Saccharomyces cerevisiae S288C: one gene and its partner. The protein of the gene in region 1 interacts with the protein of each later gene in a pairwise test. Each region holds a gene or a part of one and is shown on either strand. Other genes may lie near its edges.

Region 1 (3,763 bases):
AGATTGGGATCCATTGATTGAAGACGGTTCCTCCAATCAAAAAAAATATGACAATGTTATTAAACAAGTTTCTGATTTTCAGTCGAAGTTAGTGTCATTGAAATTAAATGCATTTGGATCCATATATTTTAACAATGACTTAAAAGACGGAAATGAGAAGGAGTTTGTTAAGGAAGACATATACGATGGGGAAACTAATCCGGATCTACAAAACAGATGGAAAATTGGGCCATCCGTGGAAAGATGTCTCTGGAGACATAAATCTCACTTGGATTTTCATAAACAAATGAAACCTTTTTTGGGACCATGGCCAAAGAAGTCTCCAATGGATATAATTAAAAATACTGGCCTATTGGAAGCTGAAAATGCTAAAACTAGAATAGCCATGAAAGAGGCAGGAAGTTCAGCTGAATTGATGTATCCTCGAACTTTGAAGGAGCAAATAACTACCTATGAAAATTTAGCTAAGATTGCCCCGGATTTATTCAACGTCAAAACAAAGGCCATTCCAAATATGCAGGAACTATTGTCACCACGTTTGTTTCATCCTGATCTAGACCCCATGAATATTATTGTTAACAAAGAAGCACAAGAAGCCTATCTATTAGATTTTGAAGGAGCATGCACAAAACCTTTCATTTTACAGAATTCGCCACAATTCATCGCCTATGATGGGCCCAAGATTTATGACTTAAAGGAGGACATAACCGATTTTGACAAATTATCTGAGGCGGAAAAGGTGCAATATCAGTTCATGTACAAGCGCACCCGTAATCAACATCAATGGGAGAAAAAATTAAATGACAATAATCCTAAATTAATTACTGCAGTTGCCCCACCTGTTAAGCTACTGAGAAGCCCATATATTGCAGCTGTCGAAAGAAAAACGGAAGAAGAGTATTTACTTATTGATGAATCACTATTGCAATTGAAGGAAGTTTGGGACATCTTTGCCCAGAATGAGTTAGTGAATCAGAAAAAGTTTCCTCTAAACTATAGTAAAGAAGATATTGAAAGACATGTTGAGGATTTGCAAAAATTACACGAAAAGCTAATCTCTACACCATTTGCTGCCACTCAAGGGTGGATTCCTCAAGATATGTTTGATCAACTATTAAATTCCGGCAGTATTGTTAAGCAAGAGAACGGAGACTACACCGTGAAGCAACCTGAAGCTACCAAATAATCTATACTAAAAATGAAATATTTTTTTGTTTTCTTTACCTCATTCAACTGTATAGAACGTTATAACAAAATAATCAAGTTAAAACCCTTTTTTGTACACAATGGAATCTCTTCCATTTACTAATCAACTTAACAATGCTGGATTGGATATATTGATAACGTTTTAAAAAGCGTTGCGTGATGTTTGGGTGCAATTGGCGGAAAAGCGGAACTTTCAAATTTACGATAGGTGGAGATACATCTCCACCTTTCTCCCCATTATCTTTGAATTTTCCTCAAATATATAAAGAGAACAACAAATCCATAGAAATGCCATTGTTTAATCCTGATTATCTACATTGTTTTAGTTTTTTACTCACAATCGAGTAATGCCTTTGTTTGGCCAAGCTATGTGCAAATATCACAAATTAAAAATTTGGTTAAGCAGTTAGGCTGGACCTAATATTTTAGAAAAACCTAATTTTTTTTGTGGACCCATTTTCGATATTTACTCACAAATGGAATTCAAGGGGAACAACTTCGGTCTCAGCACTTTAATTATTCTTCTCGTTCCCACCTAATTTCGCAATTTATTGTCCTTGACTTCTACCACGAGAAAAAAATTAAGAAAATGCAACGCTGCCCGTGCAGGGTTTTCTGAGCGGGATGAAAAAATCAGACAAATATCCAAGTTATGAGTAATTACTTTGTTGGAAGGAGGGAGCAGAGGATAAGGAAATTCTTAAAACTGTTATGTATATAAAGGAAGAACCATTTCTAGTTATTTCACTTTTTGATACTTGTCAACTATCTTAGTAAAAATACAGAACTCTATAAAGAACCACAGAAAAATCGACAGCAATGACAAGCATTGACATTAACAACTTACAAAATACCTTTCAACAAGCTATGAATATGAGCGGCTCCCCAGGCGCTGTTTGTACTTCACCTACGCAATCTTTCATGAATACCGTTCCACAGCGCTTGAATGCTGTAAAGCACCCAAAAATTTTGAAGCCTTTCTCAACGGGTGATATGAAGATTTTACTATTAGAAAACGTTAATCAAACTGCTATTACAATCTTCGAAGAGCAAGGTTACCAAGTCGAATTCTATAAATCTTCATTGCCCGAGGAAGAGTTGATCGAAAAGATCAAGGACGTTCATGCTATTGGTATCAGATCAAAGACTAGATTAACTTCAAATGTCTTACAACATGCGAAGAATCTGGTTTGTATTGGTTGTTTCTGTATCGGTACCAACCAAGTTGACTTAGACTACGCTACCAGCAGAGGTATTGCTGTTTTCAACTCGCCTTTCTCCAACTCAAGATCAGTAGCAGAATTGGTCATCGCTGAAATCATTAGTTTAGCAAGACAACTAGGTGATAGATCTATCGAATTACATACCGGTACATGGAATAAGGTTGCTGCTAGATGTTGGGAGGTAAGAGGAAAAACTCTTGGTATTATTGGGTACGGTCACATTGGTTCCCAATTATCAGTTCTTGCAGAAGCTATGGGTTTGCATGTGTTGTACTACGATATTGTAACTATCATGGCCTTGGGTACTGCCAGACAAGTTTCTACATTAGATGAATTGTTGAATAAATCTGATTTTGTGACACTACATGTACCAGCTACTCCTGAAACTGAAAAAATGTTATCTGCCCCACAATTTGCTGCTATGAAGGATGGCGCTTATGTTATTAATGCTTCAAGAGGTACTGTCGTGGACATTCCATCTTTGATCCAAGCCGTGAAAGCCAACAAAATTGCAGGTGCTGCTTTGGATGTTTATCCACATGAACCAGCTAAGAACGGTGAAGGTTCATTTAACGATGAGCTAAATAGCTGGACTTCTGAATTAGTTTCATTACCAAATATCATCTTGACACCACACATTGGTGGCTCTACCGAAGAAGCCCAAAGCTCAATCGGTATTGAAGTGGCTACCGCATTGTCCAAATACATCAATGAAGGTAACTCTGTCGGTTCAGTCAACTTCCCAGAAGTGGCATTGAAATCATTGTCTTACGACCAAGAGAACACTGTGCGTGTGTTATACATTCACCAAAATGTACCAGGTGTTTTGAAGACCGTCAATGATATTTTATCGAACCATAACATCGAAAAGCAATTTTCCGATTCAAATGGTGAAATTGCTTATTTAATGGCTGATATCTCTTCTGTTGACCAAAGCGATATTAAAGATATTTATGAACAACTAAATCAAACCTCTGCTAAGATCTCAATTAGATTGCTATATTAATATGCAATCGATTCTCATACTGTCAACTTTTTGAACATGATTAAAAGTTTCCTATAAAATATTAAAAAGAACCAAAAAAAAAATGGATAGAAGAATGCTTGAGGCAATAATAATGATTATCTATTTTATATATACATACATAATCATTTAAGTTTTTTTTTTAAAGATATTTCGATTTAGCCGAATCTGCTCAATGCCTCTTCGATGACATCCTTGTGGTCTTCTGAAATTAGGCCTTGTTTGATTTGGTGGTTTCTTTTACGAATATTTTTCTCCTTATCCAGTTGTTTCTGTACTCTTAATTTTCTTTCATCAATAACGTTTTGAG
Region 2 (3,401 bases), on another chromosome or scaffold:
CAGTTGACGGCCAGTAACAAAGAACAATATGCACAAGTTCTAGTTGTTGGTATTAAAGTACCTAAATATGAAGGTAGAGCTGGTTTTGCAGTTATTAAACTAACTGACAACTCTCTTGACATCACTGCAAAGACCAAATTATTAAATGATTCCTTGAGCCGGTTAAATCTACCGTCTTATGCTATGCCCCTATTTGTTAAATTTGTTGATGAAATTAAAATGACAGATAATCATAAAATTTTGAAGAAGGTTTATAGAGAGCAAAAATTACCAAAGGGTTTGGATGGAAATGACACTATTTTTTGGCTCAAGAATTACAAGCGCTATGAAGTCTTGACCGCTGCTGATTGGGAAGCCATCGATGCACAAACAATTAAATTATGATTTGATGTTCCTGAATTAGGATAAAGTATTTTTCCTTGCACGAGAGTACGTATGTAAACGTAATATTGATAAAGAATCAAAAAAAGTTTTATATCTATCTATATATGTACCTAATAACATATGGAAAGGATTATTTAAATTCAAAAAATAAAACAATAAAGTTTATAAACTAACCAAATTATTGTTAGAGTTGGTAATATTAGCACTTCAGTTAACTCAATACGATTGATCTTGAAACTATCGGTAACTGAATGGTTTGTTTCAGGATCACTTACGAATGATCCAGTGGAATAGTACCTTTCCATTAGAGCATCCTTCTCACTCCAAATTTTATACAGCCATTCTGAAAATTCATTCTCGTCCTCTAATGGAATATCTTTAACATCAAATGCTCTGATGTGAATATCGACTAACTTCGGGTATTTTCCTTCTAAAAATATGCTCTTCAGCCCATATATAAGCTCACCATATTCCTCCTGTTTTACACCGGAGTAGCCGATCGTAATATCATAAAGACTTTCAATACTTGGCTTCAACTTTTGTAACGAGTATCTTAGGCCTGTAGAATGAGGCAGTAGCACATTCTTGAATGGCTTTTTGCCTATTTTGGCAGCATATTTAGCACTTTTTTGCCTAGTATCAGCACTGAGATTTGTACCTTCAGGGAATAGGATAAGATTGTATGGCCAATGGATTTGTTTTGGATCAATAACCTCCGGATTCCATATGCTCTCTCCTTCCTCAGTTATGCGCTCAGGTGACTTTCCAGCAAGTGAGCCGGCGCCCCTTGCATTCGAATCAAGGCCAGCAAGGCTGTTGCTTAGGGTTATTTTGTCTTGTGCCCACTTTCTACTCATAAAAATGAAATTATAGTTTCTCATACCGAAACCGAGGATAGGAATGGAAGCCAACGATTTTTTTAAAATAATGAAGACATTAGCCCCTAAGTTCGATGTGTAAGCCAACCACCATAAAAATATCCAATCCGTGTATATTTGGTGATTGCAAATGGCCACCGAATTGGACTTTAGATGAGAAAGAATCCTTTTCTTCTTCAAGTCTAAAAAAAAAGTACCTTTAGGAACACTGGAATTTTCAGTGGTAATTCTCACTGCAGATGGTGCGACAACATGCAAAATGGATGATACCAAGACAATAAATAATCTTTTGGTTTTATTGAGACCAATTTGTTTCCTTATATCATTTCTACAGTAAAGAGTCTTATAGGTGAGTTGGAGAAACAAAAGAATAAGGCATCCCTGGAAGAAAATCAATAAGGAAATACCTGGGACGACGACTTTTCGAACTTTATGAGCTATTTTTTGATGCAGCATCAGCTTATTGACCTCGCTAGCAATCTCAATACCAGTGGACCTGATATATCCTTTTTTTTTGTTGGCTAGTGTTCATTAATGATCTTTCGCGTTTATATTTCTTTTTCTGATGAGTTTTTCGCCTCTTGAGATGTTGTTGAACATTATTTAATAATACTTTTAGCACAATAACGATTTACCATAAACTAAAGTAAACTATGTATGTGCCACCCTATGAAAAGTCTACAATGAAAATATTTACGCTTCCGTCTTATTAACCGATATGATTAATCAATTTTGTCGTACAATTTTTGTAAATCGTAGTTCTCTCTCCAGTAATCACCGTGCTTTTTCAGTATTATAAGTACACTGCTAGCACCCAAGACGATAAAGGCCAGCATTGTGAAAGCCCACCCAGTTCCCATACCGTTTAACATGGGTGTGGTGACAAAGACTGCGGTTGCAGCCAAGATTTGCCTTATTAAATTATTCAAAGCAACACCGGTGGCACCCTTTCCCGGCAATGAATCGACTAAATAGGAAAGGGTAGCACCAATTGTCATCATAGCTGCATATCCAAAGAGGGCTGTTCCAATTAGTGGCGTTACCCAGTGGCATTTTTTATCTAGGCACCAGCCAAATATCAATAGCGCAATGGGGAAAGATATTACAGATGTAACAACATTCCACGATATACGAGCTTCAGGAGCAAGAATTCCATATTTCTCTTTGTATCTTTTTAAAAGCATGTCCACCCAACGTCCACCGTAAATTGAGGCGAAAAAGTATGTTACAGAATTCGGAATATACAGTAGACCAATGTATAATGGTTTAAAGTTGTAAGGAGGCCTTGAATATTTATATTCAACTGTCATATTAACAAAGTATACTGTGGAAAAGGAAATTGCGGAAAATGTTATTGCAAGTGCCACGGGTGGATATTCTAGGAAGTGCAATGATTTTAAAGGCTTGATAAAATAAACAAAAAAGGTGTCCCAGACCTTCCTCACCGCTGATACCTGTTTAGGAGCGATTTCACCTCCATTACTGGATAGCACTTTTTTGACTTGCTCTTCCAGGTTGGTTTGTAATTTTCTCAGACTATTTTCTCGAATCGATCTCGCTAACTTTGGATCTGTTGATCTTATTCTCGTAACTTGTGCTGTTGTTGCATCGATACCGCTATCATCTAGCTGATATTCATACAGACTTCTACTCGCCTCTGTATAAATCCGTTGCAATTGGGTTTCTCCAGCTCGACCATCATAAGTATTGGGGCTAGAGTGACTTTCTAAATCTAGCGAGTCTTGATCCCTTACCTCTCCAACGTAGTTATGCTTCTCAGTAGATAATGTGGCAACTTGGTTTTCAATTCGATCTGTCTCATCTTCTCCCCTCTGATAATCTTCTTGTATCTCTCCACGTTCGTTATTGTCTACTTGAATACGTCTTTCAGCCAAAATTTGAGCGATAGCGCCTTTAGAATCTTGTTTTCTTAATGTTTCAGGTAGTAACACCGTCAAAAGAATGACATTACATCCGGATAAAATAACCATAAACCATTGAGTGGATCTCCAGGGCCAGCGATTCACTAACAAAGATCCAAAAATTGGAGATAGTAGCGGCGCCAGTAGTGGACCCAAATAGTAATAACTCAAATTTTTACCTCTATCTTCGCTAATATATAAATCAGCCACTGTTCCA

The links.
Region 2: the proteins of SER3 (region 1) and CST26 interact in a two-hybrid assay, tested with the Saccharomyces cerevisiae proteins (one large-scale study listed by BioGRID).

What each region holds. Positions count from the first base shown.
Region 1 is NC_001137.3:320,661-324,423, forward strand, and holds SER3 (phosphoglycerate dehydrogenase SER3), read left to right. Parts: upstream 1-2,025; coding exon 2,026-3,435; downstream 3,436-3,763. Other genes in the region: AIM9 (Aim9p), read left to right, coding at 1-1,186; UTP7 (Utp7p), read right to left, coding at 3,612-3,763. UniProt on the Saccharomyces cerevisiae protein: Catalyzes the reversible oxidation of 3-phospho-D-glycerate to 3-phosphonooxypyruvate, the first step of the phosphorylated L-serine biosynthesis pathway. Also catalyzes the reversible oxidation of 2-hydroxyglutarate to 2-oxoglutarate.
Region 2 is NC_001134.8:319,892-323,292, forward strand, and holds CST26 (putative acyltransferase), read right to left. Parts: upstream 1,719-3,401; coding exon 525-1,718; downstream 1-524. Other genes in the region: long-chain fatty acid transporter FAT1, read left to right, coding at 1-384; QDR3 (Qdr3p), read right to left, coding at 1,985-3,401. UniProt on the Saccharomyces cerevisiae protein: Acyltransferase with lysophosphatidic acid acyltransferase (LPAAT) activity. Fatty acyl substrates include 18:0-acyl-CoA, 16:0-acyl-CoA, 17:0-acyl-CoA and 14:0-acyl-CoA.